Pelodiscus sinensis: one gene and its partners. The protein of the gene in region 1 purifies or fractionates together with the protein of each later gene. This does not show direct contact. Links are inferred from orthologs where the notes say so. Each region holds a gene or a part of one and is shown in the gene's direction. Other genes may lie near its edges.

Region 1 (6,727 bases):
GACCAGCAGGCTCCCCTGCTTGCCCAAGAGCCCTGCACCCCACTCAGAAACACAGCTATGGGGTGCTTTCTCTTTGAGTCCAGATGGGAGGGGGGGAGATTCAGCCGCTGCTCCCACCCCCAGCACAATCCTATTGGCCAGTTTCTGGACAGACACTGGCCAATGGGAGCTGTTTGTGTGAATAACAGGCAGTCACAAAGGACAACCCTCCTGCTCACACTCAAGCACATGGCCGAGTAGGCAAAAACACTTTAAGCTCTGTAAGTCTTTAGCTCTGCAGGCAGGCTGGCATGTCATCTGGGGAGAACCTGCCTCTGGCACCTCAGCCTCTCCCTTCCCCAACCACTCCTGCCCCGCTACTCCACATGAACCCATACTCCCTCCCAGATCTGGCACCCTAATCTCTTGCCTGAGATCACAGTCCCCTCCTACCCTAGGTCACAACTACCTGATTCACCCAAACTCCCTCCCAGACTCCATTCTTCCTCCTGCACTCCAATCCTTTACCCCAAGCTCCCTTCTGTACCCAACCTCCTTCCCAGACCCCACTTCTCCTCCATTAATACCATGGAAGAGTACAGCTCTTGGCTGCTTTCCAAAATCTTGGGAGCGGCCCCCCATCACAAGTTATTGTATACCCAGTCCTAGAAAGAAGGTGTGAACTGTAGAGTCCTGATTGTAAGAGCCCTAAAAATCTACAGATATCTGCTTTATATATATATGTGGGTATCCAGATTTGTGAATGTGGAGGCAAATATCTGCAGCTCATTTTTATGGACACAGATGCAAATTTTATATCCACGCAGGGGTCTAATGATGGGACCTTTTAGTACTATGAAAGCTTAATACAGACTAGGGATATAAAGAAGTCAAGTATACAATGAACAGATAAGCCTAGGCTCATTGGTAATCTTCTTTACTATTTGCATTTCTTCCCCCCCCCCCCCCCCCCCCCCCCCCCCCCGCTTGCTGTCTTGTATCAGGGGGTGAGGAGGGAAACAGGAGCCAATGCTAGGAGGGAGCTGGCTTAAAAGCTGGTTTTCACCGCAGCACTGGCTATGCGGTGCTGCCCTCCCCCTCTTCCCCTCCCCTCCCATTTCTGCCTTTATTAGACATACCAGTGTGGGGTGAAGAGGGCAGGGGAGGCTGCTGTGAAGTAGTCTGCTCGTTGCAGGCCCAGGTTCTGAGCTCCCTACGCCTCTGTCTGTGGTAAGCCTGGATCCATTGTGGACAGGGGCTGCTGCCGGGCCAGCTTCTTTTCAGGGCAACCCAGGCTGCTGTGGACAGAAGCTCCTTCCTGGCTGCCTTTCTTCCTCCTCTTCCCACTCTCCAGCAGCCTCTGTGTGCGGGGAGTTTGGACCCTTGCAGACAGGGCTGCTGCCACTCCGTGGCTCCCCTTGTGGACTGGCTCCTGCCTGGCACCCCATGCTGCTGCCTTTTTATACCGAGGCAGCAGTGCAGAATGTTAGAGTGCTCCCCAGGAGTGCACCCCAATAATCTTGCCCAGTCTTCTCATTCCCACACACCCCTTTGTAAGTAGACATAGAAATATTTTAAATTAACTCCTGCAAATGACCAACCTCTGTAAGTAACACAGAAGTACCATGATGTACTGTAGTTTGTTTGACAAAGGGACCTTGTCGGCATATCACTCAGTAAAGTATTTAGCAGAGCAAACTGGCCCCGCCCCTGGGGCCTATAGAATAGTTGAGTAAACAATAGGAATTCATGCAGTTACTCAACTGTTGAATTAACCAGTATCTAACACCAAGTCTGTGTGTGTGATGTAAAATCTGCCATACTGAGTGATCTACTCACAGTGCAGCTGTCCCTAATATGTTTGGGTGATGCTTTGTAGATGGAGTTAGAACTGTGTTAACAAATAATGTTATAGCCCTGTAAAGAGCAGAGTTGAAACACTGTTCCTTAGTAGTGTTATAAAACACAGGGAAGAGTGAAGTGTTTATGCCATCTCTAAGGTTCTGTTATCAGTTCTATGCTACACGAACTGTCAATTTTCTATGTGTGGGAATTTCTATGTTGCCTTGAAATTGCCACAACTTTCTGCAACCCAGCTGACTGCCCCTCACACTACCCACAAAACATTCTTCTGGCCCCTGCCTTATTTGAGTGGCTACACATCTGAGACTCCTATAGGACTACTATGGCTACGTCAACACTGCTGGCTTCTTGCGCAAGAACAGCTGTTCTTGCGCAAAAACTTGTGGAGCATCTACACTGCACACGCGTTCTTGCACAAGTACATTTACAGTAAAGTGTCGGAACAGAGGGCTCCTTGTGCAAGAGTTATTCCTCTCCTTACGAGGAATAAGCCCTCTTGGGCAAGAGCTCTTGCTTTTGCACAAAAGCACATGGTAGCGTGGACGTGCTCTTGCACAAGAATTTTTGTGCAAGAACTCTTGCGCAAAACAGTTCTTGCGCAAGAAGCCTGCAGTGTAGACGTAGTCTACATGTATAGGATTACTCCAGATGTCTTCCCCCCCCCCCCCGCTTTTATAGAGAGATTTAGCCTCTTTGGTGCAACTGGACTAATATTTCAATGTTCTTTTCAGGCTCAATCCTGGAACAGGGAAGCTGGAAATGAGCTACTCCAAATTCAAAACCAAAAGTCTTTCAGCACTGGGAAAGTATATTCTAAAGGTACCTTGAGAGATAAGTAAAAATTGTCTTCTGTTATCAACTACACACTCTATGCCACGGGCACACAGTGCCTAGAGGGAACCACCAGCTGTTTTGAACAGTGAATGATTTTCCGCACTCCTAGGTCCCAATTGGCCTGGGAATGGGGGTGTGCATGAAGTCTTCCACTCCCCACCCAGAGGGATCCGCCCCTTTCTGCCCAAGGCTTCCGTCCCTCCTAAGGGGCCAGAGCCAGTCTGCAACCATGAATTAAAATTCATGAAGTGGTGCCCCCATCCAAAGGGGTTATTGCCCACCCCTGCTCTAAGTAGTAAACACATAGGTTGTGTCTACATTGGCAAGATTTTGCTCAAAAGCAGTCGCTTTTGTGCAAAATCTTGCCACCTGTCTACACTGGCTGCGAGTATTTGTGCAAGAACAGACATTGTAATGTACAAAATCAGTGCTTCTTGTGCAAATACTCTGACGCTCCCACTCAGGGATAAGCCCTCTTGTGCAAGTATTCTTGTGCAAGAGGCCAGTGTAGACAGGCAACGTTAATTTCTTGCACAAGAAAGCCCAATGGCTAAAATGGCCATCGGAGCTTTCTTGCGCAAGAGAGCGTCTACACTGGCACGGATGCTTTTGCGCAAAAGCACATGACAGTGTAGACACTCTCTTTGTGAAAAATCATGCCAGTGTAGACGCAGCCATAATGTATCTAATTAAAGATCGATTAACATACTTCTCTTCCCCAGGTATCAGAAACCTTTCATATAGTGGATGTGAGACAGAAATTAGACGAAGATGAAGAATACACAGAGTGCAACAACATGACGCTCATTAACTTTGTTATAAAGCTTATTGGACCAACCTCAGAGCAAACCCTCACTGTTCTGCTGCTTCTTATCCAGGTCAGGCAAATGCTCCCGCAGACAGGAGGGCCTACTCTACTGTGGATGTAGGTCCACACTAAAATTCTCAGGCACAGGGAACATTTTGATTTCACCCCTTCACTTATCTTTACATCTTTACTTCCACCATACCAAGTAGCTTGTTAAAGCGGGGGCTGTCTCTCACCTGCCTGAGTTAGCTATGGCTCTGCAATACAGAACCATACTGCTCCTCGGAGAGAATAATCTTGCCCAGTCTTCTCATTCCCACACACCCCTTTGAAAGTAGGCATGGAAATATTTTAAATTAACTTCTGTGTTACTTACAGAGGTGGGTCATATGATGTAGTTTGTTTGACAAAGGGATCTTGTCTTTATACCACTCGGTCAAGTATTTAGCACAAATGGATTCCAATGATCTTCCTTATTTTTTTCCTCTGTAGGTAGTGGGCAGCACCATTGCCTTTTTGATCCGGTACCAACTAGTACGCTTGTTCTATGATGTTTGACTGCGCTGCCAGTGGTAAGGGAAACTCCAGCACTTCCTGATCTACCTTTTACTTTTTCAGTTCCCTGCCACATGGCAGCAGGAATCTCGCTCTGTCTCAGAGTCACAGGCCCCCTTCCCAGATGTGAGTAAAGACTCTTACACTGGCCTCTCTCAGCTGAATTTTTTTCTGTGATGGGGTTGGGCAGAGGCCATTGGTCGGATGCGGGTGTTAATGTTACCTGAGTGTTGTGGACCTGCAGTGTCGTTAAACCAAGGACCAGATGCCAATAGGACGTGAAGTTTCTTACCTGTGGGCAGGGGAAGAGGGCTCCATGTCTATTTGTTCTGTCACTCAAGCAATTGCCCAAAGGGGGAGAGCATCCTACTCACACGTTACAGAATGGGGGTCTGCCCCCGGGGGCGGGGCAGAATGGATTCACCCTGGATGCTCGCACAGTGGCAGCCCCTGCCAAGGGCCAGTTCACGGGGTGGAACCCTGGACACTGGCAACGAGAATGAGGCTGCTCGGTTCCTTATTAGGCTTTGGGCTCCGTTTGAATTTGGCGCCCTGCCTTCTGATTGGCCTGTTCGGGCAGCCAATAAATGCATACCGTTTGGCCAGCTCCTGAGCCGAACCAATCCGTGAGAGAATCTGAATGACCAGCCAATGGCGGAATGCAGCGTCATCGCGCAGCGGCTATAAAAGAAAGCGCGCGCGGCGGGCGCCGGGGCAGTTGGCTGTGGCAGGCAGTGGCCCTTGCTGACGTGGGAGGCGATCGCTGGGCCGCGTGCGTCCTTTTCCTGCCCCCTTCTGTTCTCGCGCCATGTCCGGCCGCGGCAAGAGCGGCGGCAAGGCCCGGGCCAAGGCTAAGTCCCGCTCGTCGCGCGCCGGCCTGCAGTTCCCCGTGGGGCGCGTGCACCGGCTGCTGCGGCGCGGGCACTACGCCGAGCGCGTGGGCGCGGGCGCGCCGGTCTACCTGGCCGCCGTGCTCGAGTACCTGACGGCGGAGATCCTGGAGCTGGCGGGCAACGCGGCGCGCGACAACAAGAAGACGCGCATCATCCCGCGGCACCTGCAGCTGGCGGTGCGCAACGACGAGGAGCTCAACAAGCTGCTGGGGGGCGTCACCATCGCGCAGGGCGGCGTCCTGCCCAACATCCAGGCCGTGCTGCTGCCCAAGAAAGCGGGCGGCGGGCCCGGCCCGGCCAAGGGCGGCAAGAAGGGCGGCGGGCAGCAGTCGCAGGAGTATTAGCCGCCCGCCCGCCCCCCCCAAAGGCCCTTTTCAGGGCCGCCCCAGGCTCAGCGAAAGAGCTGCGGATCCGGGGCGGGTTTCCTGGAGGGGCGGCCCCCTCGCTGCGCTGCGCCCCGCTAGGCAGGCGTTCCCCGGGCCACGGCCGCGCGCTGCACACCAGGGGAACGAGGCGAGGTCCCCGTGATCTGCCCGGTGCCAGCGCCAGGGGCTTCCGTATTTCTGGGAACTGAGCCGTAACGCTGGTAGGCGGGACGAGCGGGCTCCACGTGCACAGGTGGGGCCGCGCCCCGAGCGTTGCTTGCGGCCAGGCTGGAGTCCGTCCTGTTACGGTGCCCGGAGAACTGCGAAACGCTGGCACCAGGAAGCAGCTGTGGCACAGACTGTTTAGTTGCCTGGTCCCACGTATCACCGATCTGAGGCTCTACCCGTTTAATGTTAAGGCTGAGAACATCTTGTCTGGGATCAAGCACAACCATCCTAAGTATTGTAAACTACGGAGCCCACGGACTCCACAGTGGGAGACTTTCACTTAGCAGCGATTACACTACTGTATTGGTGTACTCTAAAATGTTACTATTTACTAGTTTCATGCTGCAGTGAAACCAACTTTGATCTGTTGCAAGACAGCAGCTGCACACAGCAGCTTGCTCCACCTACATAATCAAACCAGAGACAATTTGAATTAGTACAAAACTTGTTAGTAAAACATCCAGTATTTCTTTCTGCCATGCCCTTTAATTTGGATACTTCTAAATCTGCTGTAGTAGCCTTTCATTGCTTGTATATCCCTGAAAATGTACTGTGTGTAATAAAATAGTGGCCAGCAACAAAAAAATGAATCTTAGTAATTGGTTGTACACAGCATGGAAAAGAGCACTGCTCAAAACTTACATTTTCCTAGTTTGTGCATTGAATTTGAAGGGTGGAGGTTCAATTACATTTTTCAAATGTGAGAAAATGTAATTGTACCTACAAAATTAAATCAAATACACAGTTTGGACAGCTGTCAGGCACAATCCCTGCTATTTGGAGGATTTCAAGGGCATATTTCATGCACATAAGAAATTACATGGCCCTGGAACCAGTTCCACATGAAAGTAAAATAGTTAGTAGGTGTTAGAGATATTTAAACATGGTTTCATTTACAAAACACCATCTCTGCATTTCACAATTTGAAAGGCCTCTACAATACATTCGTACTGGCTTATAAAATGAAGGGGATTAATCACTAGTTGAAATGCATATTCTCTTCCACTATGGAGTTTGCTGCTAAGCTTGGAAGGAAATTAAGTTGATCAAAGAAAATTCATGATACGTTGCATTTGTAGACACCATTGCTCTGGTTAATTTGGTCTGACAATTTTAAATGAATGCAATTAGTGTTGATTTATAGCAGTGAATAAACATTTATCTAAGCATCATCCATTATAGATTCCTTATGACTGGAAATG
Region 2 (7,885 bases), on another chromosome or scaffold:
GGGGGGGTGAGAGACAGACACAGGGTCCCAAGGGGCGCAGGGCGGGGGGGGGGAGACAGACACAGGGTCCCAAGGGGCGCAGGGCGGGGGGGGGGGGAAGAGACAGACACAGGGTCCCAAGGGGCGCAGGGCGGGGGGGGGGGAAGAGACAGACACAGGGTCCCCAAGGGCACAGGGCGCGAGGGGAGAGACAGACACAGGGTCCCCAAGGGGCGCAGGGCTGGGGGGGGGGGGGAGAGAGACAGACACAGGGTCCCCAGGGGCGCAGGGCGGGGGGGGAGAGACAGACACAGGTCCCCAGGGGCGCAGGGCGGGGGGGAGAGACAGACACAGGGTCCCCAGGGGCGCAGGGCGGGGGGGGGAGAGACAGACACAGGGTCCCCAGGGGCGCAGGGCGGGGGGGGGGAGAGACAGACACAGGGTCCCCAGGGGCGCAGGGCGGGTGGGGGGGGAGACAGACACAGGGTCCCAAGGGGCGCAGGGCGGGGGGGGAGGGGAGACAGACACAGGGTCCCAAGGGGCGCAGGGCGGGGGGGGGGGGGAAGAGACAGACACAGGGTCCCAAGGGGCGCAGGGCGGGGGGGGGGGGGAAGAGACAGGACACAGGGTCCCCAAGGGGCGCAGGGCGGGGGGGGGGGGAGAGAGACAGACACAGGGTCCCCAGGGGCGCAGGGCGGGGGGGGAGAGACAGACACAGGGTCCCCAGGGGCGCAGGGCGGGGGGGGGAGAGACAGACACAGGGTCCCCAGGGGCGCAGGGCGGGGGGGGGGAGAGACAGACACAGGGTCCCCAGGGGCGCAGGGCGGGTGGGGGGGGGAGACAGACACAGGGTCCCAAGGGGCGCAGGGCGGGGGGGGGGGGAGAGACAGACACAGGGTCCCAAGGGGCACAGGGCGGGGGGGTGGGGGAGACAGACACAGGGTCCCAAGGGGTGCAGGGCGGGGGGGGAGAGAGACAGACACATGGGTCCCCAGGGGCGCAGGGCGGGGGGGGAGAGACAGACACAGGGTCCCCAGGGGCACAGGGCGGGGGGGGAGAGACAGACACAGGGTCCCCAGGGGCACAGGGCGGGGGGGGGGGAAACAGACACAGGGTCCCCAGGGGCGCAGGGCGGGGGGGGGGGGAGAGGACAGACACAGGGTCCCCAGGGGCACAGGGCGGGGGGGGGGGAGAGACAGACACAGGGTCCCCAAGGGCACAGGGCGGGGGGGGGGAGAGACAGACACAGGGTCCCAAGGGGCACAGGGCGGGGGGGGGGGGAGACAGACACAGGGTCCCCAGGGGCGCAGGGCGGGGGAGACAGACACAGGGTCCCAAGGGGCGCAGGGCGGGGGGGGGGGAGAGACAGACACAGGGTCCCAAGGGGCACAGGGCGGGGGGGTGGGGGAGACAGACACAGGGTCCCAAGGGTGCAGGGCGGGGGGGGGGAGAGACAGACACAGGGTCCCCAGGGCACAGGGCGGGGGGGGGGGGAGACAGACACAGGGTCCCCAGGGGCACAGGGCGGGGGGGGGGGAAACAGACACAGGGTCCCCAGGGGCGCAGGGCGGGGGGGGGGGGGAGAGACAGACACAGGGTCCCCAGGGGCACAGGGCGGGGGGGGGGAGAGACAGACACAGGGTCCCCAAGGGCACAGGGCGGGGGGGGGGGAGAGGACAGACACAGGGTCCCAAGGGGCACAGGGCGGGGGGGGGGGAGACAGACACAGGGTCCCCAGGGGCGCAGGGCGGGGGGGGGAGAGACCAGACACAGGGTCCCCAGGGGCGCAGGGCGGGGGGGGAGAGACAGACACAGGGTCCCCAAGGGCACAGGGCGGGGGGGGGGGAGACAGACACAGGGTCCCAAGGGGTGCAGGGCGGGGGGGTGTGAGAGACAGACACAGGGTCCCAAGGGGCGCAGGGCGGGGGGGGGGAGACAGACACAGGGTCCCAAGGGGCGCAGGGCGGGGGGGGGGAAGAGACAGACACAGGGTCCCAAGGGGCGCAGGGCGGGGGGGGGGGAAGAGACAGACACAGGGTCCCCAAGGGCACAGGCGGCGAGGGGAGAGACAGACACAGGGTCCCCAAGGGGCGCAGGGCGGGGGGGGGGGAGAGAGACAGACACAGGGTCCCCAGGGGCGCAGGGCGGGGGGGGGAGAGACAGACACAGGGTCCCCAGGGGCGCAGGGCGGGGGGGGAGAGACAGACACAGGGTCCCCAGGGGCGCAGGGCGGGGGGGGGGAGAGACAGACACAGGGTCCCCAGGGGCGCAGGGCGGGGGGGGGAGAGACAGACACAGGGTCCCCAGGGGCGCAGGGCGGGTGGGGGGGGAGACAGACACAGGGTCCCAAGGGGCGCAGGGCGGGGGGGGGGGGAGAGACAGACACAGGGTCCCAAGGGGCACAGGGCGGGGGGGGGGGAAACAGACACAGGGTCCCAAGGGGTGCAGGGCGGGGGGGGGGAGAGACAGACACAGGGTCCCAAGGGGTGCAGGGCGGGGGGGGGGGAGACAGACACAGGGTCCCAAGGGGCGCAGGGCGGGGGGGGGGGGAGAGACAGACACAGGGTCCCCAGGGGCGCAGGGCGGGGGGGGAGAAACAGACACAGGGTCCCCAGGGGCGCAGGGCGGGGGGGGAGAGACAGACACAGGGTCCCCAGGGGCGCAGGGCGGGGGGGGGAGAGACAGACACAGGGTCCCCAGGGGCGCAGGGCGGGGGGGGGGAGAGACAGACACAGGGTCCCCAGGGGCGCAGGGCGGGGGGGGGAGAGACAGACACAGGGTCCCCAGGGGCGCAGGGCGGGGGGGGGGAGAGACAGACACAGGGTCCCAAGGGGCGCAGGGCGGGGGGGGGGGGAGAGACAGACACAGGGTCCCCAGGGGCGCAGGGCGGGGGGGGGAGAGACAGACACAGGGTTCCCAGGGGCACAGGGCGGGGGGGGGAGAGACAGACACAGGGTCCCCAGGGGCGCAGGGCGGGGGGGGGGGAGAGACAGACACAGGGTCCCCAGGGGCGCAGGGCGGGGGGGGGGGAGAGACAGACACAGGGTCCCCAGGGGCGCAGGGCGGGGGGGGGGAGAGACAGACACAGGGTCCCCAGGGGCGCAGGGCGGGGGGGGGGGAGAGACAGACACAGGGTCCCCAGGGGCGCAGGGCGGGGGGGGGAGAGACAGACACAGGGTCCCCAGGGGCGCAGGGCGGGGGGGGGGGGAGACAGACACAGGGTCCCCAGGGGCGCAGGGCGGGGGGGGGGGAGAGACAGACACAGGGTCCCCAGGGGCGCAGGGCGGGGGGGGGGGGGAGAGAGACAGACACAGGGTCCCCAGGGGCGCAGGGCGGGGGGGGGGGGAGAGACAGACACAGGGTCCCCAGGGGCGCAGGGCGGGGGGGGGGGAGAGACAGACACAGGGTCCCCAGGGGCGCAGGGCGGGGGGGGGGGGAGAGACAGACACAGGGTCCCCAGGGGCGCAGGGCGGGGGGGGGGAGAGACAGACACAGGGTCCCCAGGGGCGCAGGGCGGGGGGGGGGAGAGACAGACACAGGGTCCCCAGGGGCGCAGGGCGGGGGGGGGGAGAGACAGACACAGGGTCCCAAGGGGCACAGGGCGGGGGGGGGGGGGGGGAGACAGACACAGGGTCCCCAGGGGCGCAGGGCGGGGGGGGGGGGGAGACAGACACAGGGTCCCCAAGGGCACAGGGCGGGGGGGGGGAGAGACAGACACAGGGTCCCCAGGGGCACAGGGCGGGGGGGGGGAGAGACAGACACAGGGTCCCCAGGGGCACAGGGCGGGGGGGGGGGAGACAGACACAGGGTCCCCAGGGGCGTAGGGCGGGGGGGGGGGGGAGAGACAGACACAGGGTCCCCAGGGGCGCAGGGCGGGGGGGGGGGGAGAGACAGACACAGGGTCCCCAGGGGCGCAGGGCGGGGGGGGGGGAGAGACAGACACAGGGTCCCCAGGGGCGCAGGGCGGGGGGGGAGAGACAGACACAGGGTCCCCAGGGGCGCAGGGCGGGGGGGGGGGGAGACAGACACAGGGTCCCCAGGGGCGCAGGGCGGGGGGGGGGGGAGAGACAGACACAGGGTCCCCAGGGGCGCAGGGCGGGGGGGGGGGAGAGAGACAGACACAGGGTCCCCAGGGGCGCAGGGCGGGGGGGTGGGGGAGAGACAGACACAGGGTCCCCAGGGGCGCAGGGCGGGGGGGGGGGAGAGACAGACACAGGGTCCCCAGGGGCGCAGGGCGGGGGGGGGGGGAGAGACAGACACAGGGTCCCCAGGGGCGCAGGGCGGGGGGGGGGGAGAGACAGACACAGGGTCCCCAGGGGCACAGGGCGGGGGGGGGGGGGAGAGACAGACACAGGGTCCCCAGGGGCGCAGGGCGGGGGGGGGTGGACACCCGGGGAGATTCGGAGCAGGTCTCCCGGCAACCAGCCTCCCTCTGGCGGCAGCTCTCCCGGCACCCAGACCTCCAATACACGCGTTGGCCGCTCTGCTCTCTGAACGTCTCCATGGCGGGTACTTCCGGCCGCTCGCGCGCGCTCCCCCGAGACTCTATGGCGGGTATTTCCGGCCGCTCGCGCGCGCTCCCCCGAGACTCTATGGCGGGTATTTCCGGCCGCTCGCGCGCGCTCCTCCGAGACTCTATGGCGGGTATTTCCGGCCGCTCGCGCGCGCTCCCCCGAGACTCTATGGCGGGTACTTCCGGCCACTCTGGTTCCGGCCGGTAGCTCTGTGGTGGCTGGTTCCGCCTCCCTCCCTCTCTCCTTTCCTCCGTCCCTCGCCGCCCGCCCGCCCGCGCTCGGCTCGCGCCCCGCCAGCTCCCGCCAGTCCCGCGCGGCCCCAGGGCCCGGCCCCCGGGCAGCCCGCGCGCCATGGGCGCCTACCTGTCCCAGCCCAACACGGTGAAGAGCTCGGGGGACGGCGCCGGGGCCGGGCCGCGCCCGCTGCACTTCGGCTTCAGCGCCATGCAGGGCTGGCGGGTCTCCATGGAGGTGAGCGGCGGGGCGGGGGGGGGCGGGGCGCGCGGGGAGAAGCGGGGGGGGGGGGGCGGGGCGCGCGGGGGGGGAGAAGCGGGGGGGGGGGGGGGGCGCGCGGGGGGGGGAGAAGCGGGGCTCGCGGGCGGGGCGCGCGGGGGGGGGGAGAAGCGGGGCTCGCGGGCGGGTCACGCGGGGGGGGGGAGAAGCGGGGCTCGCGGGCGGGTCACGCGGGGGGGGGAGAAGCGGGGCTCGCGGGCGGGTCACGCGGGGGGGGGAGAAGCGGGGCTCGCGGGCGGTTCACGCGGGGGGGGGGGAGAAGCGGGGCTCGCGGGCGGGTCACGCGGGGGGGGGGAGAAGCGGGGCTCGCGGGCGGGTCACGCGGGGGGGGGGAGAAGCGGGGCTCGCGGGCGGGTCACGCGGGGGGGGAGAAGCGGGGCTCGCGGGGGAGAAGAGGGGCCCGCAAGATCTCGGAGGGCAGGTTGCGTGGGGGAGAAGCGGGGCCAGCAGGCGGGACGCAGGGCTTTGGCGGGGAGCGCCGCAGGGCCCGTTTTGAGCCGGGCTTGTCTGTCCTCAGAGCCCCCTTTCCGTGCTGCTTCATACGTGCCGTTCTCTCTGCCCTGGCTGCTCTGGCCTGGCCCGCGCTGCCCCTTCCTGGAGCCTGTGGTGGCACCGAGACCCCTCACAGAGAGTGAATCTGCTCTGCAGCCTTGGCCGGCTTTGTGCTCAAGCTGCGAAAGTGCCAGGTTCGGTCGCACCTGTGCGCATTACATTTGCTCCCCCTGGCATACTTTCTCAAGGCTGGGGCATATTTATAGCTCGCCCTGAACTCCCTGCCAAGCTCTCAATATTCTGCTGGTAACGAATGGGATGTATTAGTAGTGTAGCCCTGAACTGTACTGTGTCCTATCACGCTACTGCCTCCTAACTAGCTTTCTCTTTGCTTTCCCCATTACAAATGTCTTATCCATTTCTGCTACTCTCTTTTACCCACCTTTGCTCATTTTTAACATGGGAGTAAGGAATCACCATTGGGACAAACTGCCAAAGACAGGAATGAATTGTCCATCCCTTGATGTGTTCATATCCAGATATGTTCCAGAAAAGCAACCATCTTTAGTCAAATGTAAATTATTGGGCTCACTACAGGGGTAACTGTGTTGGACTCCATAGCCTGTGTCATGCTGAAGGTCTGACTAGAGGATCTAATAGTCCTTTCTGGCCTTAAACATCTATAAATCAATGAGGACCTGGGCTTTAGAGTCTTTGTCACCAGCTGGATTAACTACACATTAAGATGAAATCTCCTATTATTTTGTGTCGGTGTATCTAAAATCTCAAGAGTCTTGCTTACATTACAAAATTCCCTGCTCACCTGGTGTATGGAAGGCTTCTCGATCCAATTGGGGTTTTACCACCATATGGCTATGTCTACACTGGCAGCTTCTTGCACAAGAACATCTTGCGCAAGGGTTCTTGTGCAAGAGGTCTTGCGCAAGAAAACGTCGACACTGCCATGTGCGAGCTGTGCTTTTGCGCAAGAGCGCCCATGGCAGTGTGGACGTTTTCTTGCGCAAGAAGGCTCTGATGGCCATTTTAGCCATAGGGCTTTCTTGTGCAAGAAATCTCTGCCCAGCGTCCACACTGCCCTCTTATGCAAGAGTTCCTGCACAAGAGGGGTTACACCCGTTAAAAAAGAGCATAGCTCTTGCGCAAGAAGCCCTCTCTTACCACCCCATACTGTACATTTCTGCGGGCCGGCAGTGTGGATGCTCAGCGGATTCTTGCACAAGAACAGCCATACTTGGGTAAGAAGCTGTGACTGTAGACATAGCCTACAAGTTAGATTTATAGTCCACAGTCTGAACTATAACCATGGTAAAAATGGGTCTGGCTGCCCAGAGTCATGAACAAAGCAAGGCTCTCACCACTACCTGGAATTTCTTAGTAACACTCCCTCTTAGGTACATAAGAATGGCCATGCTGGGTCAGAGCAAAGGTCCACCTAGCCCAGTATCCTGTCTGCTGACAGTGGCCAATGCCAGATGCCACAGAGGGAGTGAACACAACAGGTACCCCTCAAGTGATCCCTCTTCAGTCACCAGTTCCCAGTTGCTGATAGATGTTAGGGACACTATTCCTACCCATTCTGACTAATAGCCATTGATGGACATAACCTCCATGGATTTCTCTCAATTCTTTCTTGAACCCTGTTGAAGTCCTAGTCTTCACAACCTCCTCTGCCATGGAGTTCCACAGGCCAACTATGCACTATGTGAAGAAAAACTTCCTTTTGTTTTTGTTTGCTACCTATTAACTTCATATGGTGACCCCTAGTTCTTATGTAATGGGAAATAACTTTTCCTTATTCACTTTTTTCCACACCAGTCATGATTTTATAGTGCTGTATCATTTCTCCCTTTAGTCTCCTCTTTTCTAAGATGAAAAGTCCAAATCTTTTTAATCTCTCTTCATATGGGACCCATTCCAAACCCCTAATAATTTTTGTTGCCCTTTTCTGAACCTTTTCCAATGCCAATATGTCTTTTTGAGATGAGGCGACCATATCTGTACACAGTATTCAAGATGTGGGCATAGCCTGGTTTTATATCGTGGCACTAAGATGTTATCTGTTTTATTCTCTATCCCTTTTTTAAATGATTCCCAACATTCTATTTGTTTTTTTGGCTGCCACTGCACTCTGAGTGGATGGTTTCAGAGAACTGTCCATAATGACCCCAAGATCTCTCTCCTGAGTAGTTGTCACTAAATTAGTCACCATCAGATTGTGTGTATAGTTGGGATTATTTTTTCCAATTTGCATTACTTTACATTTTTCCACATTCAATTTCATTTGCCATTTTGTCGCCCCATCACGTAGTTTGGTGAGATCTTTTTGAAGCTCTTCACAGTCTGCTTTGGTCTTAACTGTCTTGAGC
Region 3 (7,779 bases), on another chromosome or scaffold:
TACTGCAGGGTACTCTGGGAGTGCGCTTAGGAAGATCAGGTGGGGGGCTACACCGGGGAGGCAACTCTCACCCCCCATGGCTGGAGCCTCAGGGTGGCAGGTTCTGGGGGCGCTGTGGCTGGGAGGAGGTGCAGCCCTGGGGGTGCTAGCCTGTCTCATGGCCCTCACAGTGCAGCAGGCCAGCCTTGGGGCCCTGCGGGGGGAGCTGGCCCGGCTGCGGGGGGAGCTGGCGGCTGCCAGGAGAGGAGAGACCCAATCCCCAGAAGTGACTCAGGTGAGGACCCCCCCCCCGATTCACAGGGGGCCCTATGAGAGCAAGGGAGTCAAGTGGTTACATGGGGGGGGGAGGACTCCTGGATTCTCTCCCCGGCTCTGGGAGAGGAGTGGGGGCTGCTGGTTAGAGGGGGGGTTGGGTGCCAGGACTGGGTTCTCTCCCCGGCCCTAGGAGGGGGCATCTTACCAGGGAAAATCCGAGGCGCTGCTTTGCTTTCGCTCTCCCCTTATTCTCCACGAGGGAAGACCCCAGAAGGGTTAAAAAACTGAGGGTCCCCCCCATTGGGGTGGGCGCGGGGCTGGGGGACATGCGAAGCCGCAAACGCAAAGCCCGGACCGATCGTTAGCGCGGGCGGAGGAGGAGGAAACGACCCACAGCTCTGGGAAACCCCGCGAGGGGGAGGGGAAGGCTCCCAGCCCCCACTCCTGTCCACGATCTGCTGAGAGAACTCAGGCGCCCTGGCTCCCCGCCCACCCTCTGCTAAGATCAACCGGCCCCCACCGCCTCCCAGAGCCGGGGAGGGAACCCAGGCCCAGGCCGCCCCCCGACCCCCTCCCCGGGCCCCTGCACATTGTGTAACTGCCCTGCAGGTCTGGGTAATCTTTACAGAGCTGAACAGCGGCCTCGCTTCCTTAGTTCCACTTCCAACGAGCATTGCCCAGCTACACCCACATCCGGGAGGGGCGTGGGGACAGCTGGAGCAGGAGGGCTGGGAGCCAGGACTCCCGGGTGCTCTGCTCGGGTCGGGGAAGGGAGTGGGGGCTGGTGGGTTAGAGCAGGAGGGCAGGGTGCCAGGACTCCTGTGGGTTCTCTCCACAGCTCTGGGAAGGGAGTGGCGTGTAGGAGTTAGAGCAATAGCTCTGTTCCGGGGTTAACCCTCTCCTGTCCGTCGTTCTTTCAGGAGTCCGGGGAGCCAGGCCTGCTCCTGGGGACCCTGTTGCGGCAAAGAGGGAAGAGGTTCTCCGAGAACTCAAGGGACCAGGACCAGCGACAGCCACATAGTCAGTGTCTGGGGCTGGCGGGAGGCAAGAGGGAGGAAGGGACAAGGGGCTGCAGCTGTCAATCTATGTGTGTGTGTCCTCTTCTCCCTGGCTGTGTCTACATTGGCATCCCTTTCCGGAAAAGGGATGCTAATGAGACACTTTGGAATTGCAAATCCGCGGGGGATTTAAATATCCCTCGCAGCATTTGCATATACATGGCTGCCGCTTTTTTCTGGCTCGGGGTTTTTGCCGGAGAAAAGCGCCAGTATAGACGCAATTCTCCGGAAAATAAGCCCTTTTCCGGAAGATCCCTTATTCCTACTTTCAAGTAGGAATAAGGGATCCTCCGGCAAAAACCCCGAGCCGGAAAAAAGCGGCAGCCGTGTAAATGCAAATACCGCGGGGGATATTTAAATCCCCCGCGGATTTGCAATTCCGAAGTGTCTCATTAGCATCCCTTTTCCAGAAAGGGATGCCAATGTAGACACAGCCCCTGTGTGCAGAAGATGGGACACAGATAGAGCCTCTCCTCTCTAAGGACCACCATCTCCCATCCAGCCCCTAGGGCAGGGACTGACTGCGGGGGGGGGGGGGGGAGGACGAGAGAATGGAAAGTAACAAACTCAGGGAGGGAAGCACCACATGATGATCTCACCTCTCTTAATCTGGAGTCATCCCTGATGGCAGAGGTATCAGGCTTGGATTCTGCTTCCAATTCTTGACCTCAGGTCAATTTCTGGTAAGAGCTGTTACTCCCTGCTCCCACAGTGGAACCCCAAGCTGAGATGGTGGCAGAGATGGGATCCCTCACTGATTATCTCTGTGAAACTATGGACCTTGCGTGGTGCCGCCTGAGATGCTCTGGGGATAGTACCTAGCATTGAGGTTGGGCTGTAACCTGGCAGTTCTGGGGACACCAGACTTAAAGCCCTTTGGCTCACACTGCTTGGTGTGAGCAGTGGGATCAAGTGCCACCTGGTAGGGCTGTTTAAGTTCCCAGTGGCAGATCCAAGCTTTGGCAGCCTAGGGTAAAGGAGAGCAAACAGAGAGGAAGGGCAGGTTATGGGGAGGGAAATTGGCAAGTCACAGTCTCTCTCTCTCCAACTTATCCCCAGGGAAACGATCGGTTCTGCATCTGGCCCCCAGCCACTGCTCCACCAATGGTGAGTCATCAACCCCCTCAACACCCTACCACAGTACCCTCCTTCTATGGGTGACCCACACTGAAAATCAAGACTCCTGGGTTCTCTCCCTGGCTCTGGGAGAGGTGTAGGGGCTGGTGGGTTAGAGCAGGAGGGAGCTGGGAGCCAGCACTCCTAGGTTTTCTCCTGTCCCAGGAGGGGAGCTGGCTCCAACAGGGTAGATCAGGAGGAGCTGGGAGCAAAGGGGCACTAACAGCCTCCCATCTGCTTTGCAGACGAAGGGGACATGACTGAGATCTGGTGGCAGCCTTTCCTGCAGCAGGGCCAGGCACTGGAAATCAGTGGCCCAGACATCACTGTGAAGAAGACGGGTTTGTACCTCATCTACAGCCAGGTAAAAGCCCCCTGCTATGGGGGACAGCCCCAAACTCCATTGCCCACCCCTGAGCCAGCAATCCCTACCTTGGGACTGGATGGGAGCCAGCACCACCTAGAGGGAATAGGCCCTGTACTCCATTGCCCACCCCGTGGGCCAGCCAATCCTTGCCTTGGGGCTGGATGGGCGCCAGCATCACCTAGAGGGGACAGGCCCCATGCCCCATTGCCTGCTCCCCTGAGCCAGCCATTTCCTGCCCTGGTGTCAGATGGGAACTGGCACCCCCCTGAGGTGACAAGTCCCCTGCCCCATTCCCCAGTGACAGCCAATCCAATCCTCTCCCCTGCCCCCCAGGTGCTGTTCCATGACCCTACATTCACCATGGGGCAGGTGCTGTGGCGGGCACCACTCGGAGGCCCGGGGCAGATCCTGCTGCGCTGTGTGCAGAGCATGCCCCGTGAGCTGGAGCAAGCCTACAACAGTTGTTACAGCGCAGGTGAGGGAATCCTGGCATTGGGAGGCAGGCTCCAGCTATTGGGGGTGCAGGGCAAGGACCACTGGGGGGGGGCAAGTGGGAAAAAGGGAGAAGCAGCCACTGGGGGAGTGATTTACAGGGAATGGGGAGATCTGTCCCTGAGCAGGTTGGGAGGTGGGCTCTCCACACACATCCCATAATGTCCCCCCAGGTGTTTTCCAACTCCAGCGCGGAGACCGACTAAGCCTTCGCATCCCTCGAGCCAATGCATCCCTGGACCTTAGCCCCCATGGGACCTTCCTGGGCCTATTCCGCCTGTAGGGCCCACCCATGAGACCCAGGCATCCAGAGAGCTGCAGAGGGATTTGGCCAGGATGGGCAGAACTTAGACACTGGTGTCCAGGGAGCTGCAGAGGAATTCAGCCACCAGAGATTCAGGAGCCAAACCTCCCATCAGGAGTGTGTGAAAGGGGTTCATCACCAGAGGGCAGCAGAACTCCACCCTGGCCAACAGGGGCCGCTGACAAGCACACCTGCCCTGAAACAAACCAATACAACTAAGGAAACTCCAGGCAAAAAAAAACTTTGTGAAGGTTGCAAATGGAGTTTGCATCATGGAGGCCTTTGAACAATCCTGGCAACGGTGGGGCTGGAGGCCAGAACTTCTGGGACCTGAGAAGGGAGTGGGGACTAGAAGTGGGGCAGGGGAGGAGGGAGGCTTGGAGCCAGGACTCCTGGGTTCTCATCTGGCTTTTGTACAAAATCCAAGGCCACAGAGATGCCTGGCAGCCACATGGGTACAGCACAAACAGTGCTAGCCCAGGTGGCTTGACCAGCCTGGAAGGAAGCCAGGCATCTGGGAAGTAGCTGAGGAACTGGGCTGGTTTGTAAGAAAGGGACCCAGGCATCTGGGGAGCTGCTGAGGGACTCAGGCATCCTGAGGGAAAGGATCCAGGCAGCTGTGGAGGGACTCAGCCGGCCTGGGAGAAAGGGACTCAAGCATCCGGAGAGCTGCAGTGGCACCTTAGAAGATCCCCCCACCCCCACTGTTACAGTCCCAGGTTGGAGCTGGGACTGGGGGGCTCTCTCCTGTTGGCTTGTTACCTGCTAATAAAACAATTATTGCACGTTACCAATGTCTCCCCCCAAAGGGGATGCTGCATGGCCCCCAGGCCTATGTCCCCCGCGCCAACCACCCTCCCTCCCAGCCAAGCCCCCGCACGCCCTGATCCAGCTGCCCCGCAGTCCGGATAGACACACCCCAGCCGCCCTCCACCTCCATTGGGCCACATACGGGGCTCGGCTCAGGGGCTGAGATCTCGCGGGATTTCAGTGGGGGGCGTGGGAGCTAATGGTTCGGATCCTGTAGCGTTTCCGGGCACCTCTCGCGAGATGTGTGCGAGGGGGCGGGGTCTCCTGCTACTATGGCCGCCGTCAGCCCTTGAGCTTCTGGTGCTGCTGGGAGGTAACGGCGGAGCCCCGAAGATAGTGTGTTCTTCCACGCCCTCCCGCAAAGAGTGGACTATTCCACCTCCCTCCGCCCCAGGAGTGAGTGGGCTGTTCCATCCTCCTCCCTCCCGCCCGAGGAAGAATGGGCTCTTTCACCCTCCCCCTCCCTAAGGGAGTGGGCTCTTCCAGACGTCCCCGGGAAAAAGTGGACCTTCCCGCGGGGCCTCCGTATGGGAAAGATTGGGCTCTTCCACCAACCCATTTCCCCTAGTCCCACGAAATAGCTGGACTCTTCCATCCTCCTCACCCCAGGACAAAGTGTACTCTTCCACCTATCCTTCCCTCCACCGGAGAGAGTGGGCTATTCCACCCCCCCCCCGAGAATAGTTTCTTCCATGCATTCCGCGCTCCCCTAGACAGTGGGTTCTTCCATCCAGCCATTCCTCTCCCCTCCCCCGTCCCATCGTGGGTAAGAGCCGGGAACTTGGAGACACCTGGTCTTGGAGGCGGGGCTGGGAGCCAGGACTCAAAGGTTCGCTCCCCAACTCTGGGAGGGGAGTGGGGGCTGGTGGTTGGAGCAGGGGGGTTGGGAGCCAGGACAGCTGGGTTCTTTCCCAGGCTCTGGCAGTTGCTCTGCACCATTAACTCTTTCTCGCCTGGCTCTGCAGGTGCCCGTCCTGCGCTCTGGGAATGACTGACTCCCCAGGCACCCTGGGCAGCTCCAGCTGGAGCCAGAAGACGGACATCCCTGAGCGCTCTGCCAGCTGAACCCTCTGTGCTATGGAGCCGGGCATGCCCGGTGATACTGTGGATGACCCCACTGGAGGGGACCCCGGGTCCCAAGCGTTGCCTGCCAAGCTGGCCAGGCAGAACAGCTCCCCCCCAGTATCTGCGCCAGAGCGGGTGCAGAGTGAGGGGCCGGCAGAGGACGGGGATGAAGCGGTGGAGGATGGAGGGCAAGAAGCGGCATGGGAAGACGAGGGCTAGTAAGGACCTGGTGACAAGTGGGGCCCCACACATACAGCTGCTGATCTTGGATCTCAGCGGCACGGGGAGCATCTGGTTCTGATTGTGGGGGCTGAGCTGGGGAGGGGTGTTTTGAGCTGCTGTGTGAACCAGAGACTAGCTCATTAAAACTGGGGGTAAGGGCTGGGAGCCAGGACGTCTGGGTTCTGGCTCTGAGGGCAGTGGGAGCTGCTTGAGTTAGAGCAGGTGTCCTGGGCTTCCTTTGTACCAGTGTCTTCCTCTCTTTTCCCCCTCCCAGCCTTCCAGGCTATGAGTTCTTGGCTCCCCCCAAGCTGTTGACAGGCGCTTGGGGCGAATACAGCCAGGTGCCAGAGAACTTCCTGAAGGGCTGCAAGTGGTAGGTGGCTGGGCTGGGGCCTGGGGAAGGGTAGATATCTGGGGACTCTGCCCTGGGATTGGAGGCCCCTGGAGGGCTGTGGGTGGCATAGCACCCCCTCGTGGAAATAGGCTACTCTCAGTGCAGCACAGAGCCCCAAAATTGTTTCCTCTAACTCCCTGGACTGGGACCCCCTTGTGTTGGTTGCTGGGCAGGGCTGAGGGCTTCCCACAATGGGATGGGTGCTGCTCATACCCTCAGTACAGAAGAGTGAGTGGGGAAACTGAGGCACAGGGAATTTCTAGCCGAGCATTGGGCAGGGACTAGAGGCTGGTGGGTTAGAGCAGTGGGGGCTGGGATCCAGGACTTCTGGGTTTTCTCCCCAGCTCTAGGGCAGAGGGGTCACCCTGATGGCCTGGCTCTGCCTTCCTCTCTCCAGGGCCCCAGATGGCTCCTGTCTCCTGACCAACAGCGCTGATCACACCCTGCGCATTTACAACCTGCCCGTGGAGCTGTACGGCCCGGAGTGGGGGGACGTGGCTGAGATGGTAGGAGGGAGGGGCACTGCTGGGGAGTGGGGCAGGAGGAGCTTGTCGAGGGAGAGTTGCTCCCTGTGGGGGTGGGATTGTGCTGGTTCCATGGGTGTGTGGGTGGGGGACAGCCTCTAAATGGAGGGCCCCCCGCCATAGCTGTCCTGGCAGGCAGGATGGGGCTAGTCAGCTGGTAAAGGGGCTGGGGTGTTCCCCCAAATTGTAGTCTGCTCGTGGCTTACATGTCTGAAGAATTAAAATCTCTTGCTCCCCCACCAGCCTGAATTCCCCTCCCAGAGATAAGAAGAGAACCCATGAGTCCTGGCTCCCAGCCCCCTGCTCTAACCACTAGTCCTCACTCCCCAGAACCAGGAGTTCTGGCTCTGTTTGTTCTCTCTTGCCCCACCATGCCGTGATGCACCTTTTGCTGCCTGACTGTCCATATCTGTGTGTCTGTCTCCTCCCAGAGTCCTGTGCTGCGAATGGCTGAGGGAGACACCGTTTATGACTATTGCTGGTTCCCGCTGATGAGCTCTGCGGATCCCCCCACCTGCTTGTAAATGCTGCAGCCTGCAAAGGGCGTCCCCTACTGACGGGCTGTCTACCCCACTGCACTGAGAGAGAGTGCAAGCCTTTCTCATCAGGCCCTGGGCAGGGACTGTCTGGCCCAAGGGGGCGGGGAATGGGACATGTGGCCTGTCCACACTCTGGAGCGCTGGCTCCACCATTGTCCCCCTGTCCTGCACACTCATGTTTCCCGCTTGTGATCCTGCAGCTTTGCCAGCAGCAGCCGAGACAACCCCATCCATGTGTGGGACGCTTTCCATGGGGAACTGCGGGCCACGTTCCGCTGCTACAACCACCTGGTGGGTACAGAGCCTGGTTCCCATTTCCTGTGCTCTAACTACTAGGCCTCAACCCCTCCCGGAGCCAAGGTAGAACTCAGGAGTCCTGACACCTCTCTCTGTGCATCTGTCCCCAGGATGAGCTAACAGCCGCTCACTCTCTGTGCTTCACCCCCGACGGCTCCCAGCTGTTCTGTGGGTTTGACAAGGCTGTGCGGGTGTTCGACACGGAGCGCCCGGGGCGCATGTGCGAGAGCCGTCCAACATTTGGTGAGCGTGTCCCCTGGCACCGCACCTACTGATGGCACGTCAGTGCTGGCTTTGTAACATGTCATTAGGCTTCAGTGTTAATGGCGGGGCAGG
Region 4 (8,103 bases), on another chromosome or scaffold:
CATATAATGTCTGTGTGAAGTTATAAGCATGTACTCTGTGTGGATATTGAAAGTTTCTCTGTATGTGGTTGAGCAATGGGCAAGGCAGCTCAACCTATGGACATGCGAATGAGCAAGGCTGTTTCAAACAATAGGTCTCTTAAGTACCAGAGACCTACCTGAGAGAGAACCTGGATGCCTGGCCTGTGACTCCCTCCAGCTTGGAAGAAGCCAGGGAGGCGTATAAATAGGCCATGTGGCTGACTCCATCTGGGTGCTCAGCTCAGCTCTTCATTCCAGAGGCAAGAGTGCAGGGATGGAGGAGCCGGAAAGAACTGTGGACCCATCCTGATGTAGGATGTACACCAAAGACTTTTAAGCTAGCAGTTATAACATCTCTGCTGCAAGCCTGCATCAAGAACTGGGAGATTCGACGCATGTAATGTATGATACGTTAACAACCTCACTCTCACGCTTTTCTTTCTAGTAGTAATAAACCTTTAGATGGTAGATTCTAAAGGATTGGCTCAGCGTGGTTTGTGGGTAAGAGCCAGAGGGTAAACCTGGGATCTGTGGCTCGTTTCTTGGAACCAGACAGAACTTGTTTGGGGTAGGTGAGATTGGGCTCTAAGACCCCTCACCTGGGGTCCAGGGCCATCTGGGGCACAGATATTGCTGAGGAGTCAGAGGGGTTTTGCTCGTGAGGCTTCTGGCTGGCCAGGCAGGCAGCTGAAGCGCTCCGTGGGACTGGTTTGTGGCCTATTTGGGAAGGTCTCCAGTCTGGGAGCTGTAAGGAGCCCCAAATTTGAGCAATTTGCTCTGAGCCTAGTCCGGTCTGTCACACTATCCCTACCTTGGAATGAGCTTTAGTTACAATATTTGGGCTGGTGAACCTTTACCAAAAGTAAGGTAAAGGTCCTTTCTGCTTTTAGAAAGGGTAGCTGGCAAAGTACACTGAGGCACATTATTTAGCTTAAAACTACGTTTTAACTACATGGCTACAATTTCCACTAGCATTCAGTATGTTAGGCATCCAGTCACCACCAACCTCCTTGGTGAAATTCAAAATAAAAGTCATTAAGCACCTCAGCCATTTCCATGTTTTCTATTACCTTCTGCATGTCTAGTCTTCACTATCTGACAAGAAACTGCAGAAGAGTGGGGCCCTGCAATGCCATTTTCTACATTTGGGTTCAGAGATTTGATAGGAAGGAGATAGGGATGTAGTAGTGTAGTCAATTAACCAATAAGAAACAGCTTATAGGTTAATGCCATGGACTACATGCATTTCCTTTCCCTCCTGCCTGTAAATTTTTTAGCAGGCTGATCTGCAGCCCTGCTCAGATCTGGCTCTCTCCAGGTCCAGGAGCTCAGCCCCACACTGGACAGAGGCTGCTGCCACCCCATGCTACTGCCTCTGTATCAGAAGCAGTTGCGTGGGGCAACAGGCACCTTGTCCATGAGAGGAGCTGGTTTTTAAACTGGCTCCCCTTGCGGACCAGCTCCCAACTGGCACCTTGCGCTGCTGCCTCTGATGGAAGGTGGAGAGGCAGGGGGCTCCTTGAGAGTGGGGCTGGAATGCATTGGCTGCCAGCCCCATCTCTGGGGACTATACAATAGTTGAGTAATTGATAAGAATTCATGAGGTTAATCGAATATTTGATTAGCCAATATTTAACATCCGTAGGAGGAGAGGATGGACATAGTGGGGCTTGAGACAGAAGATGTGGCGTATGAAAGAGGCCACAGGCTGGGGAGCTTGCTTCCCCAAGCAGCAGCTTCACTCACCATTCATGGTATTGCCACTTGTTTGTTTGCAGTCTGTTTTGCTCTGTTACTTAATTTTACTGTTCTATGGTGTGTGCAGTATCAGTCAGCTGAAGAGCTGACATCCCAGACATATTGTATAAGACTAAGTAAATGTTTTTTATGCTCCAGTACCAGAAAAATATTTATTAATATTTGAAACAAGAACATGACTATTTTAGCTGATTCACAGATTTGCTTGGCATCCTAAAGCTGTGAAGATAATATGTAAGCAAGAAGGGATTGTTTTGTGAACTTCAAAGACCATAGCATGCTAGCGTTTTGGCAGAAGTTTCATTTTTTAAAAACAATTTTCCCTGAAGATTGAGGTTACATCTCCAGTTGCCACAGCGGAGATCAATCTTCTGGTATTCCATTTAGCAGGTCTAATAAAACCCACTAAATCAAATGGTGAGGGTACCCCTGGCCAGCACGGGTACTCCTCTATTTGCAAGGAGCACGGGAAGTCAAGGAGAGCATTTGCTCCTATCAACTAACCACTGTGAAGATGTGGTAAAGCAGCAGCTGCTTTTGCGCAAAAAATTGCTGCCTATCTACACTGCGCAAATACACTGACGTTCTAATGTATGAAATCAGGGCTTCTTGTGCAAGAACTCTGATGCTCCCGCTTAGGAATAAGCCCTCTTGTGCAACTGTTCTTGCGCAAGAGGCCAGTGTAGACAGGCAACATGAATTTTTTGCACAAGAAAGCCCTATGGTTAAAATGGCCATCAGAGCCTTCTTGCACAAGAGAGTGTCTACACTGGCATGGATGCTCTTGCGCAAACGCATATGCCAGTGTAGACGCTCTCTTCTGCAAGAGTTTTTGCACAAGTATTCTTCCACAAAAGAGTTCTTGCGCAAGATCATGCCAGTGTAGACATAGCCTAAATGTCTAACAGCCTGATAACACTTAATAGATTTAAAAGGCAGAGCTGCAGCAAGGTTGCTGCAACTCTGCAGTTTCCCCCCTTTATCAACTAAACAACTTGTCAACTATCTGATTAGACACTTTTTAACATCCCTACTCCCTGCCCAGATTGCATATCAATTAGCAGACCACTGTTTAAAGCAGCTGCAACTGCTCTGTAGTAAGGGTGCTGGCAAGGTGGCCACTGGATCCCGCTGGCTAGCTGCCTCTTGCTCATCCCTGCCTTAATGTGTATAAGTAGTGTAACGTTGTTGCAAAAAAGAAAAAAAAAGGCAAACATGATTCTGGGATGCATTAACAAGAGTGTTGCAAACAAGATACTAGAAGTGAAAGTAAGGTGGTGTGCAGTAGGAGAGTGGCTAGCTGGGGGCAGGACTCTAGCTGCTGCCGGACACTGTAAGATTCTTATGTTGGGTGCTCATCCCACCCCTTCTGCCTCACAGGAGCCCAATCCTGTCCCCACTACCAGAGAACTGGGGGGAGGGGCACAAGGTTCCAGGCCTTCTGGGCTGGAATCAGTACTCACGATAATAAACCCACAGCTCAGGTGGCCAGCCAGCTCGGCCAGCTGAGGGGATCTGACAGGTGGGCTACAGTGGCTGCACTCTCAGCTCCTAGCTCCCACCTGCCCTGAGCCCCTCCATACCCCCACACCTTGCCCTGCCCCCACCCAGAACCCCTCCATGCCCCCCACACCTTGCCCTGCCCCCTACCCTGAGCTCCTCCATGCCCCCCACCCCTTGCCCTGCCCCCCACCCCGAACCCCTCCATGCCCCCACACCTTGCCCTGCCCCCACTCCAAACCCCCCACACCTTGCCCTGCCCCCACTCCAAACCCCTCTATGCTCCCCACACCTTGCCCTGCCCCCTACCCTGAACCCCTCCATGCCCCCCACACCTTGCCCTGCCCCCTACCCTGAACCCCTCCATGCATTCCACACCTTGCCCTGCCCCCACCCCTCCATGCCCCCCACAACTTGCCCTGCCCCCCACCCCTCCATGCCCCCCACACCGTGCCCTGCCCCCACCCCAAACCCCCCCGCACCTTGCCCTGCCCCCCACCCCAAACCCCTCCATGCCCCCCACACCTTGCCCTGCCCCCACCCCTCCATGCCCCCCCCACCGTGCCCTGCCCCCACCCCGAACCCCCCCGCACCTTGCCCTGCCCCCACCCCAAACCTCTCCATGCTCCCCGCACCTTGCCCTGCCCCCACCCCTCCATGCCCCCCACACCGTGCCCTGCCCCCACCCCGAACCCCCCCGCACCTTGCCCTGCCCCCCACCCCAAACCTCTCCATGCTCCCCGCACCTTGCCCTGCCCCCACCCCTCCATGCCCCCCACACCGTGCCCTGCCCCCACCCCGAACCCCCCGCACCTTGCCCTGCCCCCCACCCCGAACCCCTCCATGCCCCCCACACCTTGCCCTGCCCCCACCCCTCCATGCCCCCCACACCGTGCCCTGCCCCCACCCCGAACCCCCCGCACCTTGCCCTGTCCCCCACCCCAAACCCCTCCATGCCCCCCACACCGTGCCCTGCCCCCACCCCTCCATGCCCCCCACACCGTGCCCTGCCCCCACCCCGAACCCCCCCGCACCTTGCCCTGCCCCCCACCCCAAACCCCTCCATACCCCCCACACCTTGCCCTGCCCCCTACCCTGAACCCCTCCATGCCTCCCACCCCTTGCCCTGCCCCCCACCCCTCTATGCCCCCCACCCCTTGCCCTGCCCCCACCCCTCCATGCCCCCCACACCTTGCCCTGCCCCCACCCCAAACCCCCCCGCACCTTGCCCTGCCCCCCACCCCAAACCCCTCCATGCTCCCCGCACCTTGCCCTGCCCCCACCCCGAACCCCCCCGCACCTTGCCCCGCCCCCACCCCTCTCCTCCATGCTCCCCGCACCTTGCCCTGCCCTCCAGCCCGGGGCGGTGCCCTGGCTCAGTACCTGTGAGAACCGTAGGGCGCGGGCGCGAGCGCGAGCGGCTCTTCACAGCCCTGGCCCCGCCCAGCGGTGGAGGCGGCCCCTCCCTTTGTTCAGCGAGGCGCAGCTGCCTCTTTAAATTTCCGATCTCGGGCCCTAGCTCTGCGGGCGCGTCGGCCTCTGTCTTCTCTAATTGGTCCCCTAGAATAATCGTGTCTCGCCTCCGATCGCTAATAGGTTCCGCCTTGCTGCTCGTCTGGCTCCCAATACGCTGATTGGCTAATGCAGGGAGCCCTGGAAGCAGTTCTGGGAAACCCCGCGTTTTGCCGGGGTCGCGCCGCCGTCCATGAGGCGAAAGGAGGCGCGCGCGCGCCATTTGCAGTCGCTGCTTAGGCCCCAGCCGCGCCGCGTAGGCCGCGCTCCGGTGAGTGCCGCGGGGCCGCCGCCGGGGGGTGGGGGGCTGGCCGAGAGCTGGCCCGCCGCGGGTGCGTAGCCAGCCCCGCTCGGCCGAGGCGGGGCGCTGGGCCCTGGCGGCCGGGACTAGGCCGCGCTCCGGAGGCGCCGCGGGGCCTGGTTTGGGCTGGGGATGGCGCTCGGGGTTGGGCGGCAGCGCGTGGGCCGCCTCGTAGAGCGCCAGCCGGGCCCGAGGCCACGGGGCGCCGCTTGGGGCCGTGCGCTGCCCGCGGCCCGCTCCGCTCCGCACGTGGGCCGGCTCCTGCATGTGGCTGGCGCCCGCCTGGCATTGTGTCTGCCGCGCGTCCAGCGCAGCCCCCCCCCCCCGCCCTTCCTCGCGCGGGCCGCGCGTGGCCGCTCAAAGCTGCCTGGAGGCACAGCCCGTGGCCGCTGGGCACAACACCGCGTGCGCGGCTGGGCTGGGAGTACCGAGGCTCCAGCCTTCGTGCTGACCCGCCTGCATTGCTGTAAGCAGGCGACCCCCGTGCTGTAAAGCCGCCCAGGATGTGCTTCGCTAGCTTCGGCTTTAGGAAGCTAAAACTTACACTGCCCGAGTTTAATAGCGGTTAGGTCGCGTTTTGTGTTTGGTTCTAGGTGGTACGCCTTGCTTTGGGCTAGAAAGATGAAAGAATCTCGCTAATATGAAATTGCATTTTCTGTGCTGAACTTTAGCAAACTTCTATCCACTAACGTTTTTATTAGACATACAGGATCTAAATTGGATTTAATTTTTTATTAAATACTTATACACATTTCTAAAGTGGATTTAATTACTGTGTTTTAGTGGCCATGTTATGCATTACCCTGTGAATGTAGCCTTACTTGACCTATGGTTCAGCATAGGCTTATTTAGAGGAAGTTGTTTAGACTTTTCTTTGTATCTTCTTTTTGTCTTTTCTCCCATTACTGGGCAAAAACATTTTTAACAGCTTTGATACTTTTGTGCTGTGGGTATCATTGATGGCCACACATTTTTCTGTTTGACATACTGCAGAACAATTATTAGTGTCATACATGGTGTATTCTGTAGGAGTAAGAAAGTGTCAGTAATTAGTGGGTTTTTTAAACCTTTCTGTGAATTGACTTGATTTCTGTGTAAATTTATAAGGTTTGCTGACTAGCAAAATTCTACTTAATAGCATTCTTTATTCTAAAAGTGGCTGTTCTTTTTGGGTATTTTATATCCCTACTCAATCGTCTGTCTGCTGTTAATTATTTAGGGATGTAAAATCCCATTTGGTTAAATGGTTAAACATCCTACTAACACAATATTTAATCCATTAAAGAGAAGGTAGGCAGGGGGGCTGACCCAGTGGGGAACTCCACAGGAGTTGAGCAGCCCTCTGATAGAGGCTAAGCTGCTCCTGGTTGGTACCTGTTGACTGTTACCGGGTAAGCATTACTGGTTAAGGGTGATGCTTACTGGGTAACCATTTAACCCTTTAGCTATTCACATCCCTAGTTATGATGTGAATCTCAGTAATATTTGGGTACACCAGACATGTTAATGGATTTATTCTGTCATTAATACTGAGTGGTAGATAAATTACTATTACAGATAGAGAACTGAAGTGACCTTCTGGAAGGTAAAATTCATACATGTTAGCACATGTCTTCACGGCAGAGTTCATGAGTGGTAACTCAAGTATTGTCACTAACTTGAATTTCCTCCACATCCAACCCCCTAATTTGAGTGTCACCCTATTTGTAACTTGAGCTGGCTGACCCATTTGGAGGTGGAGTGAGAGGCTAGTAAAATGAAGTTCAGAGTAGGGATGTTAAATATTGGTTAATTGAATAGTTGAATAACCTTGTGAATTTTCATAAGTTACTCAACTATTCTGTAGTCCCTAGGGCTGGCAGCCCTGTAGTCACCGGGGCTGGGGCCCACTGCCAGTATGCTCTGGCCCCACTTGGGAGGAGCTGCTTGCCAGTCCATACCACTGCCTCTGATTCAGCTCTCCTTGTGGACTGGCTACCTGTTGCTCTGCGTTGCTGTCTCTGATACAGTGGGGACTGAGCTGGACCTGGTGTGAGCAGGAACTGGTCTGGGCTGTGTGGGGTGGGTGGGTGTGTGTGTGAGAGAGAGAAATGTATATAGTCTATAGCATTGACCTATAAGCTTTTGCTAGTTGATTGACTACACCAGGGTCAGCAACCCTTCTGAAGTGGTGGGCCAAAATTTAACTCTCCTGACCTGGGCTGTGCTCCTCTCTCTGGGGGAAGGGGCTTTCCACTTGGCTCCCCGTGGACCACCTGAGTCAATGCAAATCTTTCCCTGGAGTACCAGTTGCTAATGGAAATTCACTGTTAATTACATAATTGTACCCAAGCCATTTTGCTAGTGCTGCAGCTGGGGAGAATGGTTTCATTTAAATTATTAAACAGATTAAGCTTTTTAACTTGCTTGTGTTAGTTTATCAATGTTTTACTTTATTTAAAATGAAGTTTATGTCCAACACACAGGTTTCAGTGTTTTCTTTCTTTATAGCAGGGGTGAGGAACCTTTTGGGTTGGAAGTCACTGACCCACAGAAAAATCAGTTGGGGATCACACAAGTGAGAAGCAAAAAAAAACTCCTCCCAAACCCCCCAACCTTCACTGATGTTGACCCCAACTGAGACACCTCACCTGGCACACCAGCCTCCTGAGGGGAAGGGTCAGGTACTGAGGTTCAGGGCTTCCCATAGGCCAGATTTACTTTTCTGGAGTTCTGCAGTTAGTGGATTTTGTGGACCCCCTTCGGCTCTGGGGTGGGGAAAAAAATGAAGCCCTGTCCCAGTGTGTGGGACAGGGCTGCCAGTGAGTGTGATAGGGATGCAGTATCTTGGGGGGGGAAGTGGGGTGAAGGATGGGGTGAGGAAGGTAGGGTCTGGAAGAGCGTTTGGTGGAAGGAGAGAGTGTGGGGTAGGGGTATGAGAGGGAGTTCAGGGGCGGGAGAGGGCTGGGGGAGTAACACAGAAAAGGTGAAAGGGTGAGAATGCGGCCAAATAGGTAGTTGGAGAGGGAGGC

The links. The genes of interacting proteins can lie anywhere in the genome.
Region 2: the proteins of H2AX (region 1) and PPM1G purify together in Homo sapiens (affinity purification with mass spectrometry; 4 studies listed by BioGRID and IntAct, counting the BioPlex papers as one, with this or other methods). This does not show direct contact. The link is inferred for Pelodiscus sinensis from reciprocal best matches to the Homo sapiens genes H2AX and PPM1G.
Region 3: the proteins of H2AX (region 1) and WRAP53 purify together in Homo sapiens (affinity purification with western blotting; 3 studies listed by BioGRID). This does not show direct contact. The link is inferred for Pelodiscus sinensis from reciprocal best matches to the Homo sapiens genes H2AX and WRAP53.
Region 4: the proteins of H2AX (region 1) and HNRNPR purify together in Homo sapiens (affinity purification with mass spectrometry; 3 studies listed by BioGRID and IntAct, with this or other methods). This does not show direct contact. The link is inferred for Pelodiscus sinensis from reciprocal best matches to the Homo sapiens genes H2AX and HNRNPR.

Annotation. Positions count from the first base shown.
Region 1 is NC_134736.1:119,991-126,717, forward strand, and holds H2AX (histone H2AX), read left to right. Parts: upstream 1-4,339; 5' UTR 4,340-4,847; coding exon 4,848-5,276; 3' UTR 5,277-6,111; downstream 6,112-6,727. Other genes in the region: DPAGT1 (UDP-N-acetylglucosamine--dolichyl-phosphate N-acetylglucosaminephosphotransferase), read left to right, coding at 2,574-2,661, 3,399-3,554, 3,977-4,042. UniProt on the Homo sapiens protein: Variant histone H2A which replaces conventional H2A in a subset of nucleosomes. Nucleosomes wrap and compact DNA into chromatin, limiting DNA accessibility to the cellular machineries which require DNA as a template.
Region 2 is NW_027465901.1:418,948-426,832, reverse strand, and holds the start of PPM1G (protein phosphatase 1G), read left to right. Parts: upstream 1-4,696; 5' UTR 4,697-4,844; coding exon 4,845-4,964; intron 4,965-7,885.
Region 3 is NC_134734.1:10,097,321-10,105,099, forward strand, and holds the start of WRAP53 (telomerase Cajal body protein 1), read left to right. Parts: upstream 1-4,590; 5' UTR 4,591-4,715; exon of another isoform or gene 4,716-4,798; intron 4,799-4,898; exon of another isoform or gene 4,899-5,231; intron 5,232-5,367; 5' UTR 5,368-5,479; coding exon 5,480-5,685; intron 5,686-5,963; coding exon 5,964-6,062; intron 6,063-6,480; coding exon 6,481-6,589; intron 6,590-7,038; coding exon 7,039-7,127; intron 7,128-7,346; coding exon 7,347-7,437; intron 7,438-7,553; coding exon 7,554-7,686; intron 7,687-7,779. Other genes in the region: uncharacterized protein LOC102454093, read left to right, coding at 1-274, 1,176-1,275, 2,373-2,420, 2,675-2,793, 3,130-3,271, 3,462-3,571. UniProt on the Homo sapiens protein: RNA chaperone that plays a key role in telomere maintenance and RNA localization to Cajal bodies. Specifically recognizes and binds the Cajal body box (CAB box) present in both small Cajal body RNAs (scaRNAs) and telomerase RNA template component (TERC).
Region 4 is NC_134735.1:23,169,553-23,177,655, forward strand, and holds the start of HNRNPR (heterogeneous nuclear ribonucleoprotein R), read left to right. Parts: upstream 1-4,914; 5' UTR 4,915-4,984; coding exon 4,985-5,062; intron 5,063-8,103. UniProt on the Homo sapiens protein: Component of ribonucleosomes, which are complexes of at least 20 other different heterogeneous nuclear ribonucleoproteins (hnRNP). hnRNP play an important role in processing of precursor mRNA in the nucleus.